3 linked regions of the Ovis aries genome follow. The protein of the gene in region 1 binds, or shares a complex with, the protein of each later gene. Links are inferred from orthologs where the notes say so. Each region holds a gene or a part of one and is shown on either strand. Other genes may lie near its edges.

Region 1 (4,842 bases):
TTGTTATTACTGTTAGTGTTATTACTGCCATCCTCATCACAACAGTGTCAGTGTCAGTTCCCATGTCAGCCTGAGGTGGAATGTGGCCTGGGAGACATCTCCCTGCAGTGCTTAAAACATCACCCGAATCCTATTAATTTACATCTCTATTTTCCAGACGCTGTGTAGAGAGGTGTTTTAAGACTTAAAACTGGTATTTTTTTCACCCATTTTGAGTATGACATCTGCTATCTGGGTAAAGATGTTGATTTTCATAGTCACAGGGGTTGCTAGACCTGTGGGATTACTAGGAACTGAAGTGACTACCTGAGCAAGACAGAACACTAAAAAATAACCCAGCCCAGCTATTGACAATGGCTTTCCTCTTATTTCCCATTTCTGTCATCTTTTGGTAGATTTTTTTAAACTCGAGATACAATTGATCTTTCTGAAGGGACCTTTTGCAGGATTCTCAACTGTAGGAGGTTTCTTTGCATTTGAGTTTAAATTTTAATTTGCAAGTAAACTGAAGCAGATGGATTGTCCCATTGTGAAAGAAAAAAATGAGTGCCTTGATGATACATTTGTTTTTCTTAGCAGGCTTCTGCCATTAAGATTAATGCCTGGGGATATACTGTTAGATCTTGTGTGGAAGAGAACGTTATTACTCATAGTTTACCAGATTTTAGCATTCTTGCATCACAACACAGAATATCATTTTACATTTAGTATTGCTTTTCCAGTGCCATTATCAGATTGCATTTTCATAGTAAATTACAACAAAATTTTATGCTACCAACATTTAATGAAATTTTAATAAGGTTGTGTTTTGATGTTATTATTCAAATAATGTGTTGTGAATTGCTTTCCTTTGAATATATTTGCATTAAAGAGGAACTCAACTTGATTTGGTTCTTTGAACAGTTTACCCACTTTCTGGTAGCTTTAAGAAGACAAAGAGGGAAATTAAGTTTCGCCTTTGCAAGTCAGTAAATAGAAAAGGAACCCATTTGCTAGGATCTGTGGATGTAATGGCAGCAGATTACAGATGGTTTGAGTTAATGAAATGACTCACGTTGGTTACTAAAGCAGCACAATTAAAAATATAAAGTAGATATTTCACAGATTATGACGGATGATAACCTGGAGTTTTCGCTTTCTCATTGATCTCTAAGGCTAGAGACTCACATGTTAGCAATTCTTGGTCAGAGATGCCCCAAATTAAATGGTAGTCTCTTGAGACCGACTTCTCTGTTGGTAGCATTCTCTTAGCCATTTCTGCCAGATCTGTGGTTGTGAGCCCAAGGCCCATCTTTCCATGAGCACGTGCTTCCAATAGATAAAACTCCCCGGATCAAGCAAAAACCCTCCACTTATCGTGCTTTCTGGGGTGACTGTGCCATAGCTGTCCGGCTGAAAGAGTTGATTACACAGAATATCAAGGCTGAAAGGTGAAAAGACACGGAGAAAGAGCCCTGTATGCGAGACGAAGCTGTTTACCATTGTTTCTAAACAGACTCGGGCTTTAGAGAAAGTAACTGGTGGAAAATGGTGAGAAGGGGCTGGCGAAGGCAAACTAGTAGTCCTTGGGGTCTTTTAATTGTCTTTACGTCGTTTCGTGTGGAAAGAAATTGCTCTTACTTCCTTTCCACGCTCTTCGCCGTATTTTTCTCCCATATTCATCCTGGGAGTTTCCTTCACCTACATACAGCCCTGATTTCAGAGCTTTTGACTCTCAAGTTTCTACAGCCCTGGCCTGGGTACGATCCTGAGCCAAGCCGCACACTCGCTCAGGAGCTCTGCTTCCTGTTCGCCATCTGCAGGGTTTGGTAATAACGACGACACTTAATCATAATACAGCCCGAAAGGCTGCAAGGAATACCCGCTTCTTACCGCCGCCGTCCGCGGCCGCTGGCCAGACCGGAGCGACCTCTAGACGCGGCGCGGCCTCGATGACGCAACGCGCAGCCTCCGTGACGCAAGCGCGCAGCTTCTGTGACGCAAGCGCGCAGCTTCTGTGACACAACCGCTTCTCCTCCGGGCCCTCCCACAGCCCCACGGACTAACGGCTAACCGACCTTCAATCCCTGCCACCGCTGCCGGTTACGGGGAGTCCGCGCGGTCGGGGTCCCGCCGCCGCGACATGTCGCAAAAGCCGAAGAGCCGGGGCCGCCCCAGTTCCCAGGGCGAGCGGGAGCCGAGTGGCGGCGGCGAGGAGGCCCCGAGCACGTCTCGCGGGCCGGGCGGCGCCGCGTCGCAGCGGCGGGCCCAGGCCTCCCCCGCGCCGGGGCCGCGCTCGCAGAAGCAGCTGGAGCTGAAGGTGGCGGAGCTGGTGCAGTTCTTGTTGATCAAGGACCAGAGGAAGATCCCTATCCGCCGCACCGACATCCTGCGGCATGTGGTCGGCGACTACAAGGATGTGCTCCCAGAGCTGCTGCGGCGGGCGGCCGAGCGCCTGGAGTACGTGTTCGGGTACCGGCTGGTGGAGCTGGAGCCGCGCAGCAACACCTACATTCTGGTCAACACGCTGGAACCGGTGGAAGAGGACGCGGAGGTGCGCGGAGACCAGGGAACGCCCACCACTGGGCTGCTCATGATCGTGCTGGGGCTCATCTTCATGAAAGGCAATACCATCAAGGAGACCGAGGTCTGGGACTTCCTGCGGCGCCTCGGGGTACACCCCGACAAGAAGCACCTCATCTTCGGGGAACCCAAGAAGCTCATCACCGAGGACTTCGTGCGGCAGCGATACCTGGATTACCGGCGCATCCCGCACACGGACCCCGTGGACTACGAGCTCCAGTGGGGCCCGCGCACCAACCTGGAGACCAGCAAGATGAAGGTGCTCAAGTTTGTGGCTAAAGTCCACAACCAGGACCCCAAGGACTGGCCGGCGCAGTACTGCGAGGCTTTGGCGGACGAGGAGGCCAGGGCCAGACCCCAGCCCGCGGGCCCGAGTCCAGCCACTGCCTCTGCCCCAACCCCTGCTCCTGTCTCTTGAAATCTGAGACACACCCCAGGGCCCTCTCCCTCCCCGGGGGAAGGGCTGGAGGTGGGAGGAAGCATCTTGATTGTTTAAATGCGTGGTAGTTCCAGGAAGTGTTTGCAAACTTTAATTCTTGTAATGTTGTAAGTCGTTTTGATTCTAAAATTTCATTTAGAGGGTGACTTGTTTTGTTTTGATTTGCTTCAGTGTCTGTGTTTTTTGGTGTAAAGATCTTGTTAGCTTTATAAAGCGAATTGGAAAACTTCCTACCCGGATCTGGAACTGCCAAGGAAATATAAGCGAACTGGCCCTTGTCCGGCCTTTGAACTGCCCCACTCTGTAAAGGAAAAGTCTTCGTAAATTGAAAACGAAAGTGTAATTGCCTATATCCCCTATTACCTTAACGCAGCTATTTAAAAAATCTGTTTTCTATGCATGTAAGCATTTTGAGTCATTCTAAGCAATGTGTGTATTGTAGTTTTTCCAAATAACTTTTTACATTGATAATTACTATGCTGTGTGGCTGACCATTTTGTTCAATTTTTTTTGCTACTATAGTTATAATAAATACTGTATTTTTGAAGCAATTTAGCATTATGCATTTATTTTAACCCTAACTCATGAGAAATTTCATGACTGAAAACTAGCATCATAAGGAAAAAAGAAAACAATTTTTGTTACATATCATTGAGGTAAATAGTGTTTTGTTGAAGTTGCTTTACTTTTATATGTGTGACATACTGGATCATGATGTAAAATTATTTCTGTGGGTCATGGAAAAGTTGATAAAAGTCTTAGTGATTAACCATGCCTATTTGGGAATCAGACTAGTGGGTTCAGAGTCTGCCTCACTTACAAATTTAAGGAGATTAAGTTGTACACAGACCTTTCCTTACCTATAAAACGGGTTGATGCTGCCTGTTACTGTGTATGGTAGTGTGATAATTAGGTATGGAAGTTTATGTAAAGTTATGGGCACAAATTTGTTTAAATTGGGCTTTTTTTCCTTGGCTTAGGACTGTTAAAGTTTTTTCTTTTTAACTTTTTCTTTCATTCTCTTGTAAATCATGACTGTCCTTCTAGTCCGACTCTACTGTGTGGTTTATGGAAAAATAGCTCACGATGGAGCCCACATAAACAGAGCAGAAAGTAAGATCCAACTGGGCTTGGAAGGGGTGTCTGCAGTGTAGTGAACAGGATATGGGGTTTTGAGGTTGTCTGACATCTCAGGACAGTACAGAACCCACCTGCCAATGTGGGAGACCCTGAGTTGGGAAAATCCCCTGGAGAAGGAACTGGCAGTCCACCCTAGTATTCTTGCCTGGGAGGTTGTCTGACATCTCAGGACAGTACAGAACCCACCTGCTAATGTGGGAGGCCCTGAGTTGGGAAAATCCCCTGGAGAAGGGACTGGCAATCCACCCTAGTATTCTTGCCTGGGAAATCTGAATTCTAGCCTGGTGGGCTACAGTCAGTGAAGTATCAAAGAGTCTGACAGGGCTTATCAACTTAGCAGCAGCAGCCTGAGTGAACCTGAAAGTGAAGGTGCACATCCCTCAGTCGTGTCCGCCTCTTTGCGGCACCATGGACTATACAGTCCTTGGAATTCTGTAGGTAGGAATACTGGAATGGGAAGCCTTTCCCTTCTCCAGGGTATCTTCCCAACCCAGGGATTGAACCCAGGTCTCCCGCATTGCTTTTGGATTCTTTACCAGCTGAGCCACAAGGGAAGCCCAGGAATACTGGAGTGGGTAGCCTACTCCTTCTCCAGGGGAATCTTCCCAACCAGGAATCGAACTGGAATCTCTTGCATTCCAGGTGGATTCTTTACCAACTGAGCTATCAGGGAAGCCCCAAGTGAACCTAAGGCAAAACCC
Region 2 (3,730 bases), on another chromosome or scaffold:
AGTGGTCCTCGCCTTGCTTTTCTTTTAGGTCTCACCTAAGTTTTCCCCACTTTAGGCTGTACAAGGGGTCGGTGTGAATGCCTGCGGGGCAAGGGGTGTGCGGACCTTTGCCCCTTCCTGGCCTCGGGCCGTGGGAGCAGAGGTACCTCTTGGGCGGGAAGCAGGCTGGGTGTGCCAGTTCATAAAAGATGCCCCCACCTTGTGTCCCCGCAGAAGGAAGGGGAGTTCACCCTGCACGGCCGGGCCATCCTGGAGATGGACCAGTACATCCGGGAGACGTACCCTGATGCCGTGAAGGTCTGCAACATCTGCCGCAGCCTGCTCATCCAGGTGCCCGGGGCCGGGCGGGGCGCACTCTGCAGGGCTCACTCAGGGCCCAGGGCTCACTCAGGGCCCAGGGCTCACTCAGGGCCCAGGGCTCACTCAGGGCCCAGGCCTCTGACCACGGGCATCTCCTCAGAAGCATCTGACGACAAGTGCACGAAGGCCTGCTTCTCCCTGCTCCTTCTGCTCTGTCCCAGGCTCTTTTTATTTTTGCCCCCTGCCCTGCTGTGTGCCTTTGCCCAGGACCCCCACTGTCGCCCCAGGGCTACAACGCGTGCTCTCAGAAGTCTGTGTCTCCTATTATCGTGGCAGCAACGCGCCAACCATCTTTCTGTCTCAGCCACAGATTCCTGTCGTCTGTTGGCCTCTGAGTACATTGTACAGCTTCAGAGCAGAGCAGCTGGACCAGTGCTGGATGATTCTGCTTTTGCCTTTTTGCTTTAGACTTTTCTGATGCCTTTTTTAAGGCCTTCATTGAGTTTGTTACAGCGCTGCTTCTGTTTTTTTATGGTTCGGTTTTTCGGCAGTGAGGCAGGTAGGACGTCAGCTCCCTGACCAGGGATCGCGCCTGCACCCCCTGTGCTGGAAGGCACAGGAGGCCCAGGGAAGCCCCTGTGTTTCCTCCTTTTTCATTCTCTTTTTGCATTTATCAGTTGCACTGGGCTGGGCCTCTTGGCACATCCATCCTTGGGCACCTAGTGGTTATGTTTCTTGGGTTGGAATCCCAAGAGTGGAATTTCTAGAACAGAGTGTGCACACGGCTGTTTAAAGCTCTGCCCCACGCTGCTGAAGTGCCTTCTGAAAGCCGTGGTCGTCTTCATGCCCCCTCCAGGGCCCACTCATGCTCAGAGTCCAGGCTTGGGGGCGGCCTTGCTGCTCCAAGGTCCTGGCCGCCACCCACTCTGCCCTGCTCTGGCCTCTGGAGCCTTGAGCTTCTTCCCTTTGCACTCACTTGTCAGCTGCTTTACTAAAACCCACTGCACTGAAGACTCAGAGTTGTTCTCATTGTCCGTTTGGGGCCTGGAAGACAAAATTACCAAGCCAGTGGGATGTCTTCTTTGCAGTCCGCTGAAGGGTTATGAACACAGAGATGTGTTCTCAAGCCATCACTTTCTCATTTCAGGGTCAAAGCTGTGAGACGTGTGGAATCAGGATGCACTTACCTTGTGTGGCTAAGTACTTCCAGTCCAACTCGGAGCCGCACTGTCCCCACTGTAACGACTACTGGCCCCACGAGGTGCCAGGTCTGTGTCTCCCAGCCACTTGCTTTCCTCCTGGCCTGTGGCAGGGCTGTGTGTATGCCAGAGTGTGCGTGCCCAGCATTGAGGGGGCACCGGGGCGAGGGGCGGCAGGGCACCCCAACAAGGGCTCCATGTGTGTGCGGGCCCTGGGCCCCATGTACTGAAGTACCTTCTGTGGTCATTGGAGGCCGGCCTGCTTGCTGGTGTTGGTTCCGCAAGGTGCTCTGGAACCCAGCAGAAACCCTGAGACGCGAGAGGGTCTGGTATAGTAAACACGCTCCCCTGCAGCTGTCTCTGGAGGGGAGGTGAAAGTGCATCCCCAGACGGGCTCATCCTGCCTCCCTGGGGGGTGAACTGTTCCGTGGGACAGAGTCCTCGGCACAGGCTTATGGCTGGGGGCGCCCACCAGCCCCGCCACTCACAGTGCCTTCTGGCTTTTCTGTGCAGAAGTCTTCGACCCCGAGAAGGAGAGGGAGACCGGTATGTCCAGATCAAACAAAAGGTCCTTACGGTCCCGGCAGCACTAGCCAGGCCGCCGCCTTCGGGGGAGTGACCGCCTGCCCCATTTGGAAGAGAGGCATCAGTTTCACGGTTCGCGTGGATCACCTTTTTACCTTTTATGTTTGCTTGTTAACAGGTTTGGAATAAACTTGCTCAGCAGCTCCTGCGGCCTCATCTGGTGGCGCGCCCCTCTCTTGGCACTCACTGAGAGCTGGGGGCCTGGGCTCGGGTCTGGGCTGCGGCTGGCCGAGCGCCTCCTGCCCAGCATGGCCCGAGGCCACTTGCTCAGGACAGCGTTGCTTTCAGTCCCTAGCTCTGGTCACTGGTCCTACTCACACTGGCCAGCCCGACTTACTGGATGTGTGGGAGCCTTAGCCTTGGGCCCGCCCCATGCCCCACACTCTCCCTGGCCCGAGGTGCACCGGCCTGCACGGCACGAGGCTGCGGGAGGGGCTGTGGCTGTGTGTCATCTCTGGGCGCTCTGCCTCGCCTGCAGCTGCCCCAGGCCTGACCCAGGAAGTTGGCCTGGGTGCCACCTTCCCCTGGGTCTCCTGCATCACGCCTACCACCAAATCCTGTGCAGCCCACCTGCCAGATGGCCCTCAGCCCCACGGCCACCACCCAGGCTGGCCCAGCTCCCCTCCCCTCTGCACTGCTTCCAGATTCTCCCTCAGGGTCACCCTCCCATGGCCCCCGTTGCCCTGAGGCTGACGCCATGCAGGGGCCTGTGCGTTTCACTGTCCCCCCTCCCACTTTCCAGGGTGTGGCATTTCTCTGTTCCTGGATGAACTTTCCTGCTCCTCACCCTGCAGCCTGCACACACGGTCCCTCCGCCTGCCTGCTCTCTCCCCACATGTCCTGCCCTTGCCAACACCACCTATTCACCCTTTAGATCTTGGCGAGGTGGTCACCACCTCCATGCCCAGTCCCCCACCTCCCCGTACATTCTCGACCATCACTTGCCACACTACTTTAATTCCCTGACTCCCCTCCCTTCCAGCCCAGTATCAATCAGGACCCCTTCAGTCATGATACAAAACCCAACTCAGATTGGCCTCAGCACAGAAGGCTAGGGGGCCCTTCAAGAGGTTTGATGCAGTGGGCCCAGGGTGCCCACGCGTCTGCATCGCTGTCCCACCCTGTTATATGTTGGCCTCATGCTGGGGCTAAAACACGGTCTCAGCAAATCAGCCTCTTTCTTCATGGTAGCAAAATGGCCACCATACTTCCAGGACCCGCACACCCAGTCCCCACCGTCCGGAGGAAGAGGGCAGGTCTCATTTAGTGGCTCCCTCATCTCAGCAAGCATCCAGTCTGCATACTTGTGGAAGTGAGGTGGGAGAGTCCAGGGGGCACTGGTGACCTGGGTCTCCCCTCAGCCACAGGAAGGAGCCCCTCCTGAGCCACATGGCTGAGTGAGGAAAAAGTCGTTTCAGCAAATTGAATATGATGTTACGGGCAGAGAGGGAACGAGCAGTGGGCGCTGAAAGAGTGGGGTGTCTTCCACCCGTGCAGGGAGGGACATTGTGCCTGATTCACCTCTGTCGACGGGTGTGGAGTGTGACCCAGGTCCAGCCTGGGCCCTGAGGCCTGCTTCCCAGGCGGTGAAAGGTGTTCAGCTGGAGCCCATGTGAGCCAGGCTGGACCCTGGCCCAGCCTTCTGA
Region 3 (3,974 bases), on another chromosome or scaffold:
AGATTTCATTTTTATTTTTTCTTTTTAGTTTTAAAAGGTTTTGTTTTTAAATGTGGACATGGAGTATATTTTTAGAACCTAGATAAATCAATAGGGAGGAGGAGAGGATGTGATTAAGAATTCTGAGCTTCTGGAAGCTCAGTGGTAAAGGATCCACCAGCCAGTGCAGGAGATGTGGGTTCGATCCCTGATCCAGGAAAATCCCACATACTGTGGAGTAACTAAGGCCATGTGCCACAGCTGCGGGCAAGCCTGCGCTCTACAAGAGAACCCACAGTGAGAGAGCAGCCCCCGCTCGCTGCAACTAGAGAGAAGCCAGCAACGAAGGAAGACCCAGCACAGCCAACAAATTAAAAGGAAACCGCCTCCCCCAAGAACCCAGACTCTGGACCCAGATGACTGAACCATCCCAGCTCAGTTACTTACTACGATTTTCCATAGGTCACTTCATTTCTGTGCCTCATTTTACTTATTTGTAAAGTGGGAATAATAACTGCATCACTCTCATCAGGCTGAGAAAATTATGAGTTAATATTTTCATATATGTGAAGTGCTTTAAACAGTACCTGGCACACAGTATATGCTCAATAAATGCTAGCCATTGTGAGCTCTTCTGGGTTTTCTAGTGTAGTCGGGGCATGCTTTGTAGGGTTTCATTGATTATTCTAGTTGATAAAAGGCTGCTGTTGTTGTTCAGCTGCCAAGTCGCGTCTGACTCTTTGGGACCCCATGGGCTGCAGCATGCCAGGTTTCCCTGTCTCGCCACTGTGAATAGATTAGTCCTTTTCATATAAATAGGATATAATCGGTGATAGTCAATTTAAAGACCCTGCTGGTCATAAGTCTACAGACTTTCAGGGCTGAAGGGATGACAGGGAACATCTTATTAATATCTTTATTTTGCGGTTGACAACCCCCAGGCACTTATGAAAGCCAAGGCAGAGAGCAAGGCAGAGAGTAGCCAGGATGTGGTTGCTTCCGACATTGAACACTTTAGGCTCTCAGAAGGCTGCAGCAAAGTTTCCATTATGGCATCACTTATCATCCCACTGATAAGCCAGCTACTGGAGCAGTCCGTGCTCATCAGAATGACAAATAACAGCATTTACATATTTGGAACTGTCAATACACAAAGTAAAGACAGGTAAGGAAACTGGCTTTGCTTTATACCTTCATGCTATTCTTTACTATCCTGAAAGAAAATCCTTGCAATTGGGTTGTTTTTATGTGTTTCCATTTCAAACATCCCTTGTAAAAAGCATTTTTTTTTTTGTTTGCTTGTTTGTTAAAACTATAATAAAAACTATAGCTATATACTATATATAGTATATATATAGTTATATACTATATAGTTATATATTATATAGTTTATATATATAAAAACTATAGTTATAGTTAACAAACTATAGTTTGTTAAAACTATAATAAAAAACAGTCTGAAGGATTATAGGCCACCACCCAGCCTATACCACTGGAACCATTTACACCTCAGGAGGCACACATACACAGATAATCAAAGTTTTATTTAAAATTAGAGAACACTTAAAAATAAACAATATAATAGACTTGAATGCTTATTGAAACATAGAAAAATGCTTTCAAATACACTAAAACCTTCAAATTTACCCCAAAGTATGCTATGCAGCCAGTCAAAGTGCTTTGACAAGCATCACTCTCTACGGATGGCTGGGGTAGGAGGTAGGCTGCGGAGTTCCCTGCAGGCAGGGGGGTTTCTTAGTTGGACTGGCGACGTCTCTTCTTGTTGTGGCTCTCAATCGCTCTTCTCAGCGCCTCATCCTGGATGAGGTCCGACATTCTCATGTCTGTGTGGCTACAGCCAATTTTCGGGCAACTGTGACAGAGGAGAAAAATCAAGTCAGGCCGCTTCACCTTAATGCCTTCAGAATCAACTTCTCTCCGTGCAAAAATGTAAGTGCACACTTAAAAAAAAAACTGAATGAAAAATTCTTTCAATTCTATAGGGTTTTACAATTGTCAAAAGTTTCACACAGATGATTTCTCATAATCCCATAATAACCCCTCCCCGCCACCTTTTTTCCTCCAACCCCTATCATGCTAGCCCCCACAACTTGTAACCACTGGTTTGTCCTCTCTGTGAGTTTGCTTCTTTTTTGTTTTATTCACTAGTTTGTTCTATTTTTAGATTCCACAGATAATGATATCATACAGTGTTTGTCTTTGTCTGACTAATTTCACTTAGCAGAATTACCCTCCAAGTTCATCCACGTTGATGTAAATGGCAAAATTTCATTCTTAGCAGAATTACCCTCCAAGTTCATCCACGTTGATGTAAATGGCAAAATTTCATTCTTTTTTTTATGGCTGAGTAGTATTTAAGTCTGGAAATTTTACCAAAAAGGGGGTACATTTAAAAACTCAGGACTGATGTGCACTCATTCACTAGTTCAGAGTGCCTACCTACCTGGGGCTGGGGCAACGCCCACTTCACGGCACTCACTTTCCAGTGGAGGAGAGAAACCATTGCTAACCCGCTGCATAGCGTCTTTAAGTGCCACAATGGCTAAAAAAGCAGGGTCAAGGGAGAGAGTGTGAGCTGAGGGGCTTATCTAGCAGGGGTCAAGCATGGCTAGCTGGGAGGGCTTATCTATTAATAGAACAAAGGCTGCATGTGGCTGGGGCTGGGGCAGCGGCATGTGTAGAAGCTGAGGAGGCAGCTGCTTGGTATAAGAGCAAGGTCAATGTAGCTGGAATGCCCAGGGCAAGAGGGAGGGCATTTGGAGATTCGACTGGAAGTGTGTGGGACTTTGGATTTTATTTTAAATATGAAAATCCTGGAGGGGAGGGATGAAATTTAGCTTAGATTTAGAAAACATGACTCTGGCTGTTTAATGCGGACACAGGCGGAGAGGAAGCAGGGAAGTGAGGGGGTCATGCAGCAGCTGGAGAGAAAGGGCAGCTTGGATGAGGGCACAGCTTCCAGATACAGCCGGAAGTAGAACCCAGGGGGCTTGCTGAAGGACCGATGTGGAGGGTAAAGCAAAGAGCTGAGCTTTGTTCAGAGTTTGGCCAGAGCTGAAGGGCCTTGGTGGTACCCTTTATCTCCATGGAAACAACTGGAAAACTAGGTTGGGATGGAATCAGGCAGGAGTCCTGGCTGCTACATATTCTCTCTGAAATGCCCACCAGTCCTCAGTGGAGAGGCTGAGTGGGCCGATGGAGACTCAGGGGAAGAGCTGCGGCTGAAGAAATCAGTGGGTGAGTCATGGTTCTGTTTAGATGTGGTCTCCTCTGAAGGCAGTGGGCTGGATGAAGTCACCTGATTTCTTCTCAACATGAGCCAGACTTGGGTAGAGTAGAGCACCCAGTTTTGAAGTCAAAGCCGACCTAGGTCTCTACCGCCTACTTGCTTGTTATGAGACCACCGGCAGCTCACTTTGACTTTTGGAGCCTCTGCATCCTCAGATTTACAGAAGGCGCAGAATCCCAGCTTCACAGGGCTCCAGGCAACACAGTGCTCAGTAGCGGTCATTCCCTTCACTGCCTATAGCCTGCACACCTCCAACACAGACATGTGCGCATTCGTGCACTCATTTGACCCTCTTATGCAAGTGGCCCTATGAAGGGTTCGAAGCATCCAGCTGTAAAATACAAATACAGGTTCCTGCCCCACACAGAGCTCTGGCCCAGTGATCTGAGACAACCCTCCAAAAAGCACAGATCAAAAATAACAAAAACAAGACAAAAGCTATAAACCAGGAGGGGAAGAAAGCTGATCATGCGAGGTCTAATCTGTCCAGTAGTAGAGGGCTCAACTGTGTAACACAGAAGAGAAACTCTTTCTTGGTCTTGATTTCTGGACCAAGGCATCTTTCTATGAGAAGAGCATGAATCAGTGTAATGAATAATACGCTTGCTAACAATATTTATATTTACTGAAATGGGTCCTGTATGGTCAGGTACTTGTGTTAAAATGTGAGGCTAGAAAGGTAACC

Evidence for each region. The genes of interacting proteins can lie anywhere in the genome.
Region 2: the proteins of NSMCE3 (region 1) and NSMCE1 are in contact, whole or in part, in a crystal structure (PDB 7DG2), measured with the Xenopus laevis proteins. The link is inferred for Ovis aries from reciprocal best matches to the Homo sapiens genes NSMCE3 and NSMCE1. Residues at the interface, in XP_018121157.1 of Xenopus laevis: Gly57, Glu58, Val60, Gln61, Tyr62, Leu64, Ile65, Lys66, Gln68, Lys69, Val82, Thr100, Gln102, Gln103, Val104, Phe105, Gly106, Phe107, Asn123, Leu125, Gln126, Arg127, Val128, Gly130, Asp131, Gly132, Met133, Arg134, Asp136, Glu137; in NP_001083134.1 of Xenopus laevis: Ile5, Glu7, Gln10, Arg11, Leu13, Gln14, Ala15, Met17, Ser18, His19, Leu30, His33, Leu37, His38, Leu54, His57, Leu58, Pro60, Leu61, Phe62, Met63, Val84, Asn86, Ile88, Thr89, Met91, Ala92, Ser93, Asp94, Gln149.
Region 3: NSMCE3 (region 1) and NSMCE2 share a complex: the UniProt entries of both Homo sapiens proteins name them as parts of the SMC5-SMC6 complex. The link is inferred for Ovis aries from reciprocal best matches to the Homo sapiens genes NSMCE3 and NSMCE2.

The regions. Positions count from the first base shown.
Region 1 is NC_056071.1:25,978,823-25,983,664, reverse strand, and holds NSMCE3 (non-structural maintenance of chromosomes element 3 homolog), read left to right. Parts: upstream 1-1,998; 5' UTR 1,999-2,122; coding exon 2,123-2,980; 3' UTR 2,981-3,552; downstream 3,553-4,842. UniProt on the Homo sapiens protein: Component of the SMC5-SMC6 complex, a complex involved in repair of DNA double-strand breaks by homologous recombination. The complex may promote sister chromatid homologous recombination by recruiting the SMC1-SMC3 cohesin complex to double-strand breaks.
Region 2 is NC_056077.1:25,320,092-25,323,821, reverse strand, and holds the end of NSMCE1 (non-structural maintenance of chromosomes element 1 homolog), read left to right. Parts: intron 1-213; coding exon 214-330; intron 331-1,447; coding exon 1,448-1,729; 3' UTR 1,730-1,752; coding exon of another isoform or gene 1,753-1,874; 3' UTR 1,875-2,012; coding exon of another isoform or gene 2,013-2,092; 3' UTR 2,093-2,228; downstream 2,229-3,730. UniProt on the Homo sapiens protein: RING-type zinc finger-containing E3 ubiquitin ligase that assembles with melanoma antigen protein (MAGE) to catalyze the direct transfer of ubiquitin from E2 ubiquitin-conjugating enzyme to a specific substrate.
Region 3 is NC_056062.1:27,876,580-27,880,553, forward strand, and holds the end of NSMCE2 (E3 SUMO-protein ligase NSE2), read right to left. Parts: intron 1,853-3,974; coding exon 1,735-1,852; 3' UTR 1,503-1,734; downstream 1-1,502. UniProt on the Homo sapiens protein: E3 SUMO-protein ligase component of the SMC5-SMC6 complex, a complex involved in DNA double-strand break repair by homologous recombination. Is not be required for the stability of the complex.